3 linked regions of the Caenorhabditis elegans genome follow. The protein of the gene in region 1 purifies or fractionates together with the protein of each later gene. This does not show direct contact. Each region holds a gene or a part of one and is shown on either strand. Other genes may lie near its edges.

Evidence for each region. Proteins that work in one complex are often made in the same cells at the same time.
Region 2: the proteins of ech-1.1 (region 1) and ech-6 fractionate together in Caenorhabditis elegans (co-fractionation; one large-scale study listed by BioGRID). This does not show direct contact.
Region 3: the proteins of ech-1.1 (region 1) and acdh-12 fractionate together in Caenorhabditis elegans (co-fractionation; one large-scale study listed by BioGRID). This does not show direct contact.

The regions. Positions count from the first base shown.
Region 1 is NC_003283.11:15,355,290-15,364,460, forward strand, and holds ech-1.1 (Trifunctional enzyme subunit alpha, mitochondrial), read right to left. Parts: upstream 5,450-9,171; coding exon 5,240-5,449; intron 5,198-5,239; coding exon 4,457-5,197; exon of another isoform or gene 4,389-4,456; intron 4,222-4,388; coding exon 3,721-4,221; intron 3,673-3,720; coding exon 3,149-3,672; intron 2,795-3,148; coding exon 2,503-2,794; 3' UTR 2,388-2,502; downstream 1-2,387. Other genes in the region: C29F3.7 (CUB-like domain-containing protein), read left to right, coding at 21-133, 264-376, 425-974, 1,029-1,343, 2,033-2,222.
Region 2 is NC_003281.10:9,751,052-9,754,565, forward strand, and holds ech-6 (putative enoyl-CoA hydratase, mitochondrial), read right to left. Parts: upstream 1,833-3,514; 5' UTR 1,825-1,832; coding exon 1,522-1,824; intron 1,476-1,521; coding exon 1,265-1,475; intron 1,217-1,264; coding exon 918-1,216; intron 696-917; coding exon 642-695; 3' UTR 501-641; downstream 1-500. Other genes in the region: vps-53 (Vacuolar protein sorting-associated protein 53 homolog), read right to left, coding at 2,777-3,145, 3,353-3,514.
Region 3 is NC_003280.10:7,191,934-7,196,581, forward strand, and holds acdh-12 (Very long-chain specific acyl-CoA dehydrogenase, mitochondrial), read right to left. Parts: upstream 2,838-4,648; 5' UTR 2,831-2,837; coding exon 2,666-2,830; intron 2,620-2,665; coding exon 2,516-2,619; intron 2,469-2,515; coding exon 2,153-2,468; intron 2,106-2,152; coding exon 1,992-2,105; intron 1,944-1,991; coding exon 1,228-1,943; intron 1,183-1,227; coding exon 1,046-1,182; intron 1,002-1,045; coding exon 853-1,001; intron 797-852; coding exon 656-796; 3' UTR 501-655; downstream 1-500. Other genes in the region: E04F6.4 (PLD phosphodiesterase domain-containing protein), read left to right, coding at 23-231, 276-486; maoc-1 (MaoC-like domain-containing protein), read left to right, coding at 4,405-4,492, 4,541-4,648.

The sequences.
Region 1 (9,171 bases):
TTCTAACTTTCATTTTACAGATCAACGTGCCGCAGAACTATTTTGCAACTATCCAATTAACTGTAAATATCACAAGTTCAAATAATAAATCAGCCCCAGTCCAAGCGGTGGATCAAATGCAAAACGTTGAACAGTGAGTCATAAGCACAAAACTATCAGGAATTAAAAGAAACTATGATGTGGAAAAATTGGTGTTCCATTTTTTTCCTTTTCCAAACTATCAGAAAACTACCATTTAAATATTTTTGAGAATAAATTTTCAGAGTTTTTTCTACGAAATCCGAGTCGTTTTATTTTGTTTCCAATGGAGGAAACATAAAACTATCCACTGGTAATCGAAAAGTTCAATTTGGATTCTCAATTTTCTGGGACACATGTAATTCTTTGGATTTGATATATGCCATGTTAGCTTTAATTTTTTCAGATCAATTCATACAAACAAAATATCTGAATTTCTCCCGATCGGCAACTTTACCTCCACTTTACTCAAACATGCCTGACCAACAAGTCGTGATCACTGCTGATACCAGAATATCCGCCACAATTGTGCCACCAGGTGTCAAGGACAGCTTTCAATACTTGCGTGGAGTACTGTTCTTCGATGGAACTACCAGAAACTCGACGTATCTTGGAACAGGACTTCAGTTATTGACGGGAAAATCACAATATGTTAGCACTTCGAATCAAATGCTAATTTCGTATATTGGTGATTCCTGGGCTGTAAACAATAGTCCCATTGTGCTTCAGGACTATGAAAATACAAAATCTATTTGCAAATTCGAGTGGATTTTGTGTCCAGATGACCAAGACTGTGACGGCATTGTTTCATTGGATGGAACAAAAGGTTCAGTCGCCCTACAACTATATCACAACAAATTCGAAACAAGCTTCGTTTTAAATAAGACACTTGGCTTTGGTAAATTAGAGGTTTTTGATGGCGGGGTCACTAAAACAAATTTGATCACAACTTATGAGTGGGTTTCTTGAGAAAAATGACACAAATATCACACACCCAAAATTACTTTCAGTGTAAACAGAAGCGAGCTTAACCTACCTCAAGAATTTTTTGGCCGGTTAACAACACTTGTTTTCACAGGTGAGACCGCGTCTCTCACCTTCACACGAAGAGATGATGCATTCGATGAGACAACTTCCTTCGGAAGAAAAGGATTCATTTCATCCGACTCATATGGAAACTCATTCCAAGAAGCTTTCCATATCAACGCACCCGTAAAAAATCCGGACACTATATTTAAAGTTAACATTGCTACAGCGGATTTAAGTGGGTCAACCACACTAATAGTATATTGCTATAGATATATCGAGTTAACAAGAGAACTGAGGTAAATATTTCACAAATGAAATGGCGCGGTATTCACTTGTTAAAAATTCTAGTCATTTCTGCATATGTTTAGATCTCCTATAAGGGCCGGAGGAGGCTACCCAATATAGGGGCTTGGTCCCAAAACTGATTTCAAAAAAAATTCTACTCATTATGAGAAAATTTAGTTAATTTTGATTTTCGTAATGCATTTTCGTATAAGTTTTCCTGGCAACTTTGTGACAGAACAACAAATTGCAAAAATTAGAAAACTTAGAATATTTTTTTATCAAACTTTGTTTTTTTTTAACACCTAGTTTCAAAGTTGTAAAAAAACATACCCTCCTGATAACAGCTGATTTAACTTTCTGGAAAACAATTAAATAACTTTGCCAAAAGCAAAAAGTAAAAAAGGTGATTGAAAACAGTTTGTTAGTTGAAAATATTTCGCTAACTATTATGGTAGTCGAGTTATACGCGTTCGAACAACTCAGCAAATCACCGAAAAACCGAAAGTAAAAATAGTCTTCAAAATGGATAAACTGATTGGTGTGCTGAAGCGTTGAAAAGTAAAGTCTAAAAATTACAATTTTGTTAAAAACATAGCATATTTTAGAAAAAAGTTTTCGTAAGTTCTTTTTCAATTTGATTTTTAACTCAAATTTTTAAGTTTACGAGTTCCATCGCAATCCTCAATCTCTTCAATTTCAGCTTTAATTCTACAAATCTTCCACCTCTCAACACTACTATAACCTTTCACGGAAACTTTTTGCACATTGAATATTACCCAAACGGTACCGATTCAAGCAAACTATTTCTCAATTTTGATATCGAAAAGTCTGTGACACGTTCTTCTGAATTCTTTTTCGCCTGCGTAATTGTCTTTCTGTTTTTGTTTTGAGAATTTATTTATTTTTTCTGTCTTGTAACTTTTATTTGTTTCAATAAATGTTTAAATTCTATGAATCTGTTTTAGGATTCACATATTTAAAAAATGCATACTTTTTGATTGACGATTTGAAAAATCTCAAAAATTCAGCATTATAGAAGCGATTTCAAACAAGTTTTTTATCATAACATTCATTAAACATAATAAAAAGGGAGCAATTTGAAAGGAAATTCATTGAAAACAAAAATGTCCCGTATAAGCTGTGAAAATACAATTCAGACAAAAATTGGTTTTAGCTATAAAATTGTCCTCCACTCTTCGCATGATTTCTGAGAAGTTGGCATGGCTCAAATTGGACAGATTCGTACACTCCGGCAAACCTGTCCATCGCCGCAACCAACTTGCCCGCTCCATAAAGATCGACAAACCGGAATGGGCCTCCCCAGAATGGTGGGAAACCGAGACCAAATACAGAGGCTATATCTCCGTCAGATGGTGAGCTAATAACACCTTCTTCAAGACAAAGAAGTGCCTCATTGACAAATCGAGAGACGAGACGAAGTTGACGGTCCTCAGGAGATGAGCTGGAAAATATTACGATTATTACTATATTCAAATCGCTACTTGTATATATTTTTGTTCAGTTTGATGTATGATCTCCAAAGAATTAAACATTTGAGGGCTAAAAAAGCGCAGCCGACATTGATTGAGATTAGCCATGGATAATTCGCGGTGTGCGGATATTGTTTTTAAAAAAAATTAAAAATAATTTCCGGGTTTTTAATAAACACATTTCGTAGTGAGAACTAAAACAAAACTATCAAACATTTTTTATGTGGTTCTAAATTTGGAAGAAACATTGCCCGTATTTTAGCTGCGCCGGTCGGGAATTAGTTTCTAAAAACTATTTTTTTAATGCGTATTTAAAAAAAACTCACACAGATTTGATTGGTGTCAATTTATACTTTTCAAACAGCTTTGCCGCCTCTTGGTTTACTTTCTTGCTGCCTTTTGCCCCATCTCCGTACACAAAGATTCCCTTTGAAGTCTTACGCCCCTTATGTCCAGCGCGCACCAATTCGGACAACAAATCAACCGATCCTCCATGAACACGTGGACCTAAAGCGGTTCCGAGATATCGAGCCACGTGTTCTGCGACGTCGAGTCCAGCTTCGTCGGCCAACGTCGCAGCTCCCACAGGGAATCCGAATTTCGTTGTGAGTTTGTCAAGTTCAGATGGTTCGACACCTTCCTGGAGGAGACGGACTATTTCCGACATCATTGGGCTTAGGCATCGGACGACGAAGAAGCCGGGACAATCCTTGACGACGACGACGAGTTTTCCTTGCTTTAGTCCTAGCTGAGCAGCAGTTGCAAGGGTTTCTTTAGATGTTCCATCATGAGTGATAATTTCAAGTAACTGCATCTTTTCAACTGGAGAGAAATAGTGCATCCCAATAACCTGAAAATTAATTTAAACTGTAAGTGATTTATAAATTCAATACCATACTTTATCTGACCGAGAAGACGCAGCGGCAATATCCTTGATTGGAAGAGCAGAAGTATTGGATGCAATGATTGTGTTTGGTCCAACGACGTTTTCGATTTGCCTAATAACTTTATGCTTCAGAGGAAGATCTTCGAAAACCGCCTCAATAACTACATCAGCATTCTTCATGGCGGAATAATCAATTGTTGGCACAAGATGGTTGTAGATTTTTTCTCTTTCCAATTTCGAAATCTTTTGTCTCTTGAGCTGTCTATTCAAATGTGTAGCCACGTGATTTTGTCCTCGTTCAACGCCTGCCTGGTTGGCATCCAAAAGAACTGTTCGAATACCCTTATTGATAGTTACATTCGCAATCCCTGCTCCCATGAATCCAGCTCCGACGACAGCGATTTCATTGACCGGAAGTCCTTTTCCGTATTTGTTCTTTTTAGCATTAGTCGATCCTTCGAACAGTCCAAAAAGTGCTTTTGATTGGAAAGTTTGTGAAAGTTCACCAAATGCCTGAAAGCTTTGAACTTGGCAAGTATTCTCTCATCTCTGATCTCTCAATCTCTGATTTTTTTGAAGACTAAAAATTCCCTAATTACGAAAAATGAAATTCAGGCGTACGAGAAAAGCTGACTGCAAACTCTAAAAAACTATTTTTGTATAACTTTTCACACTACTTCAAGTCTACGGATAGACAATTGAAAATCGAAAACAAAACTGGAAAAACGATGAAATCAAATTGTCTTACCTTAGCCTCAGCTTCATATCCATTTTTTGGGTCTAGGTATGCCGTCCGGACAACGTCAAGAATCTTGAGTGGAGCCGGATAGTTCCCATTGGTCAGTTTAATAAGCTTATTCTTAGCCATCTTGAGAATCACATTGTCCAGTACAAATTTGCTAGTCATGACTGCTTGCGTAGCATTGTGCACAAATCCTTTGTCTCTGTTAATTTTGAGTTTTCCATTGGCAAGCTCCCGTGCCGATTGCACTGCGATTTCTTCAAGATATTTATGAGTGGTTTCGGTTGATGTACAAATTCCATCCCCAAGTGGTTGAATAACACGATCAACAATTCCAATTTTCATAGCCTTATTTGCCTTGATTCTCTTGCCAGTCAATGTCAAGTCGAGAACATTCTGAACAGTAGTTAGCTTTGGTAGTCTTTGAGTTCCACCGTCTCCTGGCATTATCCCAAGAGTCACTTCTGGAAGTCCCAAGAGTGTCTTTTTGTCGTTCACAGCAATGCGGTAGTGACAAGCAAGGGCGATTTCAAGTCCACCTCCCATACAGCTTCCCATGATTGCAGCGACTATTGGTTTCTGGCTCAGCTCGATGGTCAATAATTGTTTCTGGCCCTCACGAAGAAGGTTTGAAACTCCAGCGGCTGTTTTTTCTGCTTTAAACATTTGAATATCAGCTCCAGCAACAAAACTATTTGGTTTTCCGGACATGACAACAATAGCTTTGACACTTTGATCAGATTGAAGCTGAAACTTATAACTATAAAAAAGAAATCTCTTCAATCTCACCCTATCCAATGTTTCGTTCATTTCCGCGAACAACGCTTTATTGAGCACATTTTCTGTTGTGTTTGGCAAATCAATTTTCATGACAGCCACGTCACCTTGTTTCTCAACGCGATGAGTACTGTGCACGGCGAATGCAGACTGTGAGAACAAACGAAACGAGAGATTTGTTCGAAACACCGAAGACGATCTATGAACAACACGTGATAACATCTGTAATAATGAGGTTTGAAGTAATATATATTTTGAAATTAATTGGTTTTTCTACGACGTCACACACAGTAAAAGCTATTTTTGTAAATGAATTCCGCATGGCAAATAAATTGAACTTTGATATCATCACGATTTTCCAAAAACTATGAACACAGGAGCTGAATTCATGAAGAGAAATCCGATTTTTTAAAGGAATTTTTCGAAATGAATTACTATTTATGAATTTTTGCGCTTTCCGGCTAAATTTATGGATGTTTTCCAAAGCCAAAAAGTTGATTTTTTTAATCAAAAAATTCGACTGTTAACTCAAAACTAACTAAACCATTTTAACATTTTTCTCAAAATGTTAAAAGGTAAAAAATGTTAAATGTGTTAAAAATGTTAAGCTCATAATTTTCAAAAAGTATCCAAAGAGCAATACTCCTCCTTTGAAGAAGTGGATGTTGCAAATTGTGCGAATTAACGGTAATATTTTAGAGAACACGGAAAAAGTAGAATGGGAAATAAATTTGTGATTAAAAAGTTGATAAAGTAAGAAACCCCGTATGAGAAGACAAGAATCATCTACAGCACGTAGCATGCTCGAATAAACAAAAACTTGGTTAAACTGTTAACTACAGGTATAACTACACTTAGTGAAGTTTAACTGACCAGCAAAAATGTGTTCTCCATGAAAAGGTGGTAGAGCAACAAGAGAACGTAGTGAAAATAGAGAAATAGAGATGAGACAAATGCGAGAACAACTGACTACACGTTGTGTTCATTTGGGTACACCCAACAGAAATGTTTTGATTTTATACTTGGAAAAAACACGTGAACTGTTAAATTACAATTTCTAACCTGTTCCACGGTGTGGATTTTTTAACAAAAAATCAAAAAAACATGTTCCAAGAATTAATTCATTCTTAACCATTGCGTGACACGTGGCATTTTTTTGAGTTTTTTATGGGTTTTAGCTGTTTTAAATCATCCAACTTTCAGCTTTGTTTCAGTTTTTCTTCAATTTTTTTTCTAGATTATCAAAGTTGACAGAATTTTCAAGGAAGACATAAAGAAAAAACTAGAACAACAAATTTTGTGATAAAGAAAAACAACGACAAAGTATGTATATCTTGCGCCAGGAAAAGTCCTCTAACTGACCACTGTGCCCACAACTTTTTTTTTTTAATTTACCATTCTGATAGTTTGATGACTGGTTACAATACCAACATATTTTTAAAATGTTACTATGTCTAGTTTTTGAGAAAATGTAGGTAGTTGTGAAAAAATGGTGGTTCCCTAACATGGAAAGGATCTCGAAGAATCATCAGAAATCTGTTACTTAATAACATATATTTGATAGATGATGATTACAGATAATCACTTCAAAAAAATTAGTTGTTTTAGAGCAGGTTCAGCCAAATTACAGCGTCTTAAAGTTGACTAAAATGCCCTCGTTATAAACATCAAAAGTTTTGATTTTTTGAATTAAAATATGAAGACTTTTTAGTCAACCTTAAGACGCTGTAATTTGGCTGAACCTGCTCTAAAACAACTAATTATTTTTGAAGTGATTATCTGTAATCATCACCTATCAAATATATGTTATTAAGTAACAGATTTCTGATGATTCTTCGAGATCCTTCCCCTGTTAGGGAAACCATCATTTTTTCACAACTACCTACATTTTCTCAAAAACTAGACATAGAAAAATTTTAAAAATATGTTAGTATTGTAACCAGTCATCAAACTATCAGAATGGTAAATTTTTTTTTAAAGTTGTGGGCACAGTGGTCAGTTAGAGGACTTTTCCTGGCGCAAGATATACATACTTTGTCGTTGTTTTTCTTTATCACAAAATTTGTTGTTCTAGTTTTTTTCTTTATGTCTTCCTTGAAAATTCTGTCAAATTTGATAATCTAGAAAAAAATTGAAGAAAAACTGAAACAAAGCTGAAAGTTGGATGATTTAAAACAGCTAAAATCCATAAAAAACTCAAAAAAATGCCACGTGTCACGCAATGGTTAAGAATGAATTAATTCTTGTAACATGTTTTTTTGATTTTTTGTTAAAAAATCCACACCGTGTGTTCAGTGGCCATATTGGTGCATACCGTATTTCTTTTATCAATATGACCATGCATTCTGAATTAGTTTTTGTTGTAAGTCGGTCTCAATAATTTCAGTACTGAATTAATGTTTCTGGCTATACTTATTATAATATTGATTTTGCTAAATATCGTTCACAAATAGTATGTAAGCGAAATTTATAATTTTTAAACCAGAAAAATTGGTAAATACGAAGACATTCAAAAAAAATACGAAGAAAAAAAATGCGCCCTAATTTAAAATATTTGAAAACACATGTGCGCGGACTGTAACACACTTACCCAACAATGGTTGAAATATACAAATTGTTCAAAAACCACATTGATACTTGAAAATGTTCTTGCTTAGTTTTCAGTTTTTTTTTAAACTCAAATCAAATGAAACACAGAACTAGTGATTTGTACATAGTGGAAATTGCGTCGGCTTTATTCTAACAGGAGTCCTAGTGAGAATAATGTAGAAGGCCATAATTTGGAAAAGCGACGAGACCTGTTGAGCAAAGTGCGATGGATAGAAAACTGCTTGCCATGTGGCAAAAAAATTATAGTATTTATTGCATTTGGATTAATTTTTTGCATAATACTCCTCTAGTGATGTTACTCCGTAATTTTAGTAATTGTTCAAAAATCGCTATGGCATTTCCGAAATAATTTCAGCCTATGTCTCCGGCCAACGATCTTATTTTTTCGTGTGATTGTGGAATCGCTTCACGGCACACCGATTTTTCCAATAAAACTTTTACATACACTTGCAGTTCGTTTCATGGGTCAATATTTTATTATGTAAACTCTCGACTTCTGTGAATGACGATTGAATTATCTTTCTTGAAATACTTTCGAATCGCTTCTCGATACGGTCTGTGCACCAACATGATTGCAATGCTCTCAACAAGGCCGTGGAAAGCAAGATAGTCAGTACCCAAGTTATTCCATTCTTGTCGATAATATCCCATTTATGCCGCCAAGAAGATGATTGCAGTTGGAAAAACTACCATAATAAGCGGCTCCGAAATCTGTACTGTGACACAGACTAAAAACACATATTGATCCTTTCGAGTATTCCTCAACATAAGGAGCGATGGGGACACATAGAGATAATATATAAGACATGTCACATGGAATAACATATTACCAGTGAAATGTAGAAACATCAAGATTAGACCAAAAACAAGTAAATTTTGTGGAGCCTCAAAGACAAAAACTGGAAATATGAAAAACTCTCGAGTGGGGCAAGGGTTAATCTCCAGAACTCGCAGCTTTGCTGCAATCTGTTTCTTCACCAATTGCGATTATAAGAAACATGAATGTCATAACGGCGATTATGAAGTAAGTAAAGTAGATTACTCGAGATATTCTGCGAGAAATCCGAAATCGATTTTGAAGTAACGAGCTGCTACGACTCTCAAATAAAAAGACGTATGAACCGACAACACCTGAAATGACAAGCATTGAGCTTTCCAGTTTGTTTGAGAAATAGAGAGAACTATCAGTTGTGAGTGAAAATTCCATCTTATTACGGAGTCAACGAGTCGCTTCTTTTTTGCCACCCCCTCCTGCGCATTACGGGAAACTCATTTTTATTTGAAACAAATTTCATTGTTTTACCTACCCCTCAAAAAATGTTCCGCGCAAAAGA
Region 2 (3,514 bases), on another chromosome or scaffold:
GAGAGAGGTAATCAGATATAGAAAATATTAGAAGAGATTGAGAGAAACTAAGAAAGGGCGGCCGAAAATTGGTGGTTAGGTAATGATATACTAGTATAGTAGATAAAAACATTTTTGTACAGTAGAAACTGAAACTGAACTTAATAAATCGTGATAGGGAAGATTTTTCAAACTTTGCCGCTTGATGTTGCTCCCTGCCGGCCATTAAATATTACAAAACTCACGGGAAAGAACCAGTCAAGCCACATCGCTGTCCACTGTTTCTGTAGTGTTTAATTGATTTTTTCTTCGAACAACATAAACAATCAGAAATCACAAATTTAATATTTAGCAGACCCAAGGTGGGTATGCTATTATTCAGCATACAAGTGTGTAGTGTTTCTGTAGTGTTTAATTGATTTTTTTTTCAAAAAAAAAACATAAACAATCACAAATCACAAATATGGAAAATCGAAACTGACTACAAAAAAAAAGGAATCAGAAAATCGTGAAGATGCAGCTTTACATATATATTTATTTTCAATGGCAGAAGAAACTAACCGTAAAATACAGAAAAAATACAAAACACAATAAAAATAATAAAACAAGAAATTCAACTAGGCACTTTGAATCATCTTCTTCTCTTATCTGTAGATGCGCATCTATTTCGACTCCCACTGTGGCTTTCTCTTCTCGGCAAAAGCGGTCATTCCTTCCTGAAAAACATCTTTTAAGGGGAATTTATCAGGTTTTCGAGAAAAATACTAAACTAGGTAGGAAACTGATTATTTCATTTTAAGAGAAGGTGGAATAAAAACTGGAACAATATTTTGATCACTGTATTTATTTGGCAGTTTTTCTACCGTAATAATAAATAAGTTTAAATAATTTATCTACAAAACTAGATTGCAATTTAAAAATTCATTTTGATAATTTACCTTTCTATCCTTGGTGGCAAAAGTGGCATGGAAAAGTCGTCTTTCGAAGTGAAGTCCCTCTTGAAGAGTAAGCTCATAAGCTTTGTTAACGGCCTCCTTTGCCATTTGAACAATCAGTGGAGATTGATCAGCGATTTTCTCTCCAAGTTTCACAGCTTCCCCGACAACCTGATCAGCTGGGAAAATCTTGCTCACAATACCGTGCTCCTTAGCTTCTTGAGCAGTCACGTGGTTTCCAGTAAGGCACACCTCCATGGCAAATGATTTTCCGGCGGCGCGAGCCCAACGCTGAGTACCTCCTGAATCATCGACGTTTAAAAATTTGATTTTAAAATATTGTCAATTACCTGCTCCTGGAATAGTTCCAATGTTAATTTCAGGTTGTCCAAAACGAGCCTTCTCTCCGGCATAGATAATATCACACATCATTGCCAACTCGTTTCCACCTCCCAATGCAAATCCGTTCACTGCAGCAATAACTGGCTTTTTCACATCACTGACAGCGGTCCAGTTGGAGAGGAAGCTTCCAGAAAATGTGGTGGCGAACTCGTTATTGGTCTGAAATCCGATAATTTTTAAAAAATTGGATTATACGCTGACTAACCATCTCCTTGATATCAGCTCCAGCGGCAAAAGCTCTCTCACTTCCAGTAATCACAATTGCTCCGACAGACTTATCAGTATCCAAAACTTCGAGAGCATCAGCCAATTCAGTCATAAGCTGAGCGCACAAAGCATTCAAAGCTTTTGGTCTATTCAGCTTGATAAGAGCAACATTTTGCTTCTCTCCAACTTTCTCGATCTTGATCATTTCAGGAGCTTTGCTTGAAAATGCGGCGACTTGCATTTGGTTGACATTTGCACACAATTTGGCATTGCGAACCAGCATCGACGAGAAGCGCATCATCTTGATTTCTGAAATTTCAGAACTTGAGTTGGAAAATGTTGATAACTAAGAAATGAGAAGAAAATTGGAAGTATTCAAGAAAAAGAAGACAATTGTAAAAGATGCAAAAGTGAACGAAACAGATATGAAAATAGACGCAGACAGTGAGAGATATACGAACGATAGAGCACACAGTGTGAACTGTGATCTATGAACTAATCAACAATAAAAACAAGAAAACACTGCTTTTTAAAGGTTTTTCTTGTTGTTATACAACGTGTCTAAACGTGCCAATTTTTACGTTTTTTCGTCAAGAAGACTCTAATTTGGAACAATTATAATTGTTATTAAATAACACAGACGCAAAATTTAGATTTTTGCCAAAAGAAACCATATCCGGTCTCGACACGACAAATTTGTGTGAAATACAAAAAGATGTGCGCATTTGAAGAGTACTATAATTGCAATTTACATAGCAATTTTTTAGATCCAAATAATTGTTTTTTATTTTCTAAACACATGAAAAATAAAATTCCGAAGATTTAGACCAATTTGGTATGCTGAATAATTAGCAGACCAATTTGGTATGCTAATTATTTATTGGTAAAATTTTACAACAAAAAGGGGAAAGCAGAGACAACTGCGCGAGATAACAGAGAGTGGGTTACTGTACTACTTAAAGGAGCATTCCTTTTTTCACGGCTTCAAAATATTTCGTTTGTGGCGAGAGAGGATACGGTATCTTTGAGTTACTGCATAATAAAAAATCAAATAATTTCGGAGAACAACCCATAAAAATTAAATTAAAACAAAAAGTATAAAAAGTAAGAATTAGAAATCTTATTCACAACTATTAAAACATTTCACATGAATAAATAAATAAATACAAAACTCCGATGAGTATTCTGAGAAACTTTCAAATAAAATTATGTAAATAAATTATAAATTTCGTTCTTTGGTAGTAGATCAACAATCACAATTGTCGTTTGACTAGTCTTTCGAATCTTTTAAGCTTATCAATTGATGACGTCACTGCTTGATCAGACAATCCATCTGCTGCCATTGATACAACTGCATTGAATGCTTCAGATACAGATGCTGCACTTCCAACAGTTGGTAGTGCTCCACCAATCCGAGAAGTTAGACTATTCGATTGTTGAATTGGATCCGAGCCAGATGCACCGATTTTCAATCGATAAGCGTTGAGAACTGCCGAATGCTCTTGTCGTTTAACTCCTTTCATTTCAAGAACTTTTTGCATTTCTGCTGCATCCGACGCTGGTAGAAGTTTAATATATTGTTCAACAAATTCATCGACAGTCTCCAAACTGCACATTACTACCTGAAAAATTATTTATTTTGAATTTCGCGTTTTTGGAAAAATGGAAAACAACAAATTAAAATTTTGGTCTTTCTAAACTTATTTTGACTTTCGAATTTCCGGAAAATTCACAATTTTTTTTTAAATTAAAACCCATGTTTAAAAACCGAATTTTGTTTTTTGATTTTTTGATTTTTCGATCTCTTTAAAAAATCTAAAATGTCTCACTTTCAAAATCATTTCAGCTTTTGTCAGAGCTGCATTCACACTGGTAACGTATGCCGTTGGTGGTTTTGAGTTGATAATACTATCAATTGATGGTACACTGAGCAAAAATGTTTTTAGCGAATGAGTATCAAGTAACAGTTGCTCAGCTCCATGAGTACTAAT
Region 3 (4,648 bases), on another chromosome or scaffold:
TTATTAAATATAAATATTTCAGAAGTTCATTTTAATTCCACAAACCGCTCAAGAAGCTTATAAAGATCGTAAGATGCATGCAAAATTCATGATTTCCGAATCAAGAACCTTCATTGGTTCATCGAATTATGGACCTGAATACTTTTACAAATCAACTGGAACTGCAATTATTGTAGACGAAGAACCACATTATGGAGATATCAATAGACAAATAAAAGCTGTATTTGAACGGTAATTAAATATAAAAAATATTTAAAATGTTTCATTGTCTTCAGATACTGGCATAGCACGTACTCACAAAAACTTCAAAAATACGGTGAATCAAAAGGTTATCTTCCAAAAATTTCAAAACCATCGAACCCATTCTCCGGATGGTTTGGGTTTGATCAAATAGGAGTATTTAATGAGAAATACTCTGCTGACGGACTAGTTTACGAGAAGAACCATGGAGAAGATCAGATTCTCGATCCGCTTATTTTCATTTAATTTCGTGTATAAAATTTCAATTGATAAAATTTATTTTCCGTTTTTTATAGCACAAGAAATAAAATATTCGCACCCGAAAATTCAAAAAAGAAGGCAATTCAATTCTAGATACATACAGACTGGCTAAAAGAGCTTCTTACGATAAAAAAAAACAAGTCTAGTTTACAATTTACAATTCAACTGGATGTTGAAGAGTGAGTCCTCCATTTCCACAGACTTCCTTCGCCAATGATTCAATTGTTGCTACCTTCGAAGCATTCTCAACACCACTTCCGGCATCCTTCAGGAATCTGTTTGATGATTTCATCGCCTGAAAGAGTAAATATCGAAATTAAAACTTAAAATTTGGCAGTTATCAAAAATTACCTTATCAACGTAGTAAGTAGCAACTTTGCGTTCAAAATCAGCACTTGAAGATTTGTTCTTGATGGCATAGGTGGCACGAGAAAGAACAGCGGCAGAGCTGTAAATGTTGATGGCAGCGTCGGCAACACGGTGCATCTCATATTGACGATCTACAAAAATTAAAATTAAAAGCAGTTCAAAGGTATTTTATTACCAATTATTCCCTTTTTATGCTTCATGAGTAATCCTTGAACTGTTTGTCCAAACAAAGCAATTTGCTGATCCAATACTTTAGCTGAATCTTGAAGACTTGCGTCGACGACTTGCCCAAAGTTGGAGCCAGTGTTTCCTCTGAAAAATACAGTTTAATAATTCTAAAAATGTGATTTCACAAACCCGGTAACTCTTGAAACAGCCAACCCAATAAGGCCCCCGACTCCAGAAGCTTGCTCGGCAAGATGCTTTCCAGCATGTTGTGCTCCAGTAAGAGCAATGAAGAGGCGGAGAACATCATTGGCTCCTTCAAAGATTCTGAAGATACGAAGATCTCGGAGAACTCTTTCAAGACCAGTCTCGCGCATGAATCCCATTCCTCCGTGAACTTGAATAGCATCGTCGCATACAAGCCAAGCATTTTCTGAAGCTAGAACCTTGCCGATAGCTGCTTCAAGTTGATACTCCTTAATTCCACGATCCATGTTTGATGAAAGCATATAGACAATTGACTCTGTTGCATACAGTTTCGAGATCATTTCTACCAGCTTTTCTTGGATATTTCCAAATTCTTGAAGTTTCTTTCCAAACTGAACACGAGTGGTGATGTGATCGACAGTCTTCTGGATACAATGTTTCATAGCTCCAGTACAGGCAGCTGGAATTCCGAATCTTCCGTTATTAAGAATGTTCATCGCCACCTTGAAGCCTTCTCCTTCTTTTCCAAGAAGATTTTCAACCGGGATTTTTAAATTATCAAAGTGAACTTCAGTTGTGTTCGATCCCTTGATTCCCATTTTCTTCTCTTGTGGTCCACTGGTGACTCCACCAAACGCTCTTTCGACAATGAATGCAGACATCTTGTCCTTTGTTGAGCCATCGGCCTGCTTGACAGGAGTCTGAATAATCAATTGTGAAAGTTTTTCCAAAAAATGAAAATAAATTACCTGAGCAAACACAGTGAAAACATCGGCGAATCCTCCGTTCGAAATCCAGATTTTTCCACCATTCAAAACGTAGTGCTTACCATCAGCAGACAATTCAGCTCTCGTTCTAACTGACTGAATAAATTTAAAGTTTATGAGAAATTAATAATATTCTAGCTTACACTAGCATCAGATCCGGTAGTTGGCTCGGTAAGAGCGAAAGCAGCAAATTTGCGTCCAGTTGCCAAATCGGGAAGATATTTTTGTTTCTGAGCATCCGTACCCTCGAGAAGGATTCCTTTGTAGCCAATCGACTGATGAGCACCCATGACAACACCAAATCCAAGATCGTAAGCTCCAACAATTTCAGCGACTCTGGCCATCTGAGAATTGTTGAATCCGGAACCTTCAAGCTCTGGTGGAACGAGTACACCAAATGTTCCTAGCTCAGCGAATTGGTCCAAAACTGCTCTTGGAATGTCAGAAGTCTCGTCATTTCTGAAAATAAATAAATTGATCATGTAAATTTAAGATTTATTATTCACTTTACGACGTCATTAACTTCGACAAGCATCTTTTCCAGTGGAGACATCACCATTCCAAGAGTTTCTTTCTGTTCGTCAGTCATATTCAGAGGATACGGAAACACCTGGAAATTGGCAGTTTGAACAGGTCCTGCTAAAATTCTCAAATACCTGGTCAGTCACAGCTTTCCCTCTGAAAAGATTCATGACAAATGATGGACTGTCCACTGCAGCGACCTTCTTCGGTTTTGCATCTTTTGCAGCAGCAGCAGAATGCGAAAGACGAATGAATCGTGTTTGGTTGAGCCGTGCAGATTTACTCAGCGTTGACAGCATCGTTTCTCTGGAAGAAAAAACCAATAATATAGGTTTCAATCAGTGAATCAGTAGGGGGTAAATAGCGATGACGGAGATAAAGAGTGAAGAAAACAACTTGGGGGTCGAACGGTGGATAGAGCAGAGACGCAGCATGTGAGAGAACATAGAACACAGACATAACAATACTTTTTTACACTGAACGTCCAAGAGCAATCAAAATAAATAGAATTCAGAATAAGTTTTATAGAAAAGTATTTAGCATTTTATATGAACGCAAAAAAGAACGAATAGGTTTTTTGCTTTTTTTGGATTACATAAAAGAGTGTTTCATAAAATAAGAAGTTTAAAAGTTAACTAAAAATAACTGGAAACATGGTTTGCTCAGTATTTTTCGTAAATTTTCCATAATAAACTGATTAATCGCCAACATACACAAACGATGGAGAGGAAACGTGGAGGACGGTCATTGTTATCTCTTGTAGACTTTGCCCTATGTACTTTGAACGGCCCTGGCTACGCACTAGTGAAAAGACAATGTGATAAAATACACTTTAGCGCAGGTTCGATGAAATTTTCAAGAAAAACATGATTTTATAGCTCTACGGGTCACCTCATGGTACTGAAAAATTCGTATGAACACTTGTTGTCTTATATTTTATCTTTAACGGCCACAAAATAAATTAAAATAGAAAAAAAACGACAATTACAGAAGTTTTCTGCATCGTACTCTGAAAGAAAAATGAATCCGCAATCTGTCGTCACGGTGTTACGGTGGTGTGTTCACACCGTCGGCACTATATTTGACGGCTCATGTTTTAATGTTTTTTACATCTGAATAAATCTGTACATTATAGAAACGAACCGTATGGAATTTGGAATTCTTTCAATGTACGAAAGTGAACGAGTGAAAATATAAACTAATTTAGCGAATGCACAAGTTTGAAAACGTGTGAATTTTTCGGAAGGCTTTTACGCGAAAAAATAAGCTTTATTTTTTTAATTAAAGAAAGAGAAATGGTTCGTAGAATGGATACTGTAATTTAGCTATTTAACAGTCGACAAACAATCCTTGGTTGTTTAAATATCGGAAAAAATAAATCGACCTTCCATGTTAATTTTATTGAACAGACGACAAGGCGTCATAGGTATTTGATGAATGTTTCTGAATTAAGAGAAATCTGAAACTGGTCTATTAATTTTTGTGCGTGCTTCGCTTCAAAATTCAAAACGAAGGAAATTTATTCGATCATTTTCTATAAGTTGAAACCCAAATACTATAGTATACTATGAACACGTTGTACATCTCTCCCGACAAAAGTCTAGTTTTTATATATTTTTTAATTGAAATTTAAAGCCTTGTATACTTTTTTTGCAAATTATTTAAAACATCTAATAATTATCAGTATGTGGTAATAATTCTTTTAGTGCTTATTTTTAAAAAAAAACTATTGATTTCACCCTCGTTATGTAGTCTGCAGCGTAGTCTTATCAACACATGGGGTCAAGACTACACTGTACCGATTCCTTGTTAGGTATTGGCATTTTCTATTTCATTATTTGGTTTTTGTTTCTTCTCCGACAAATACTTAAAAATGGATAAGAAAACTGCTTGCGCACATGTGGCAGAGCCATGCGAGTTCTCATATTCTACCAGAGATGCTATTATTTATGCTCTTGGAGGTAATTTTTTCTAAGACCTTTTGAATAGTGATTAATAATTTCATTTAGTTGGTGCTCGAGCGAAAGAAGATTTGTGCTACGTTTATGAGAACCATGAAGACTTTAAAGTGCTTCCATCGTACATTGTTGCTCCAGGATTTCAAGCTCACACTTTGA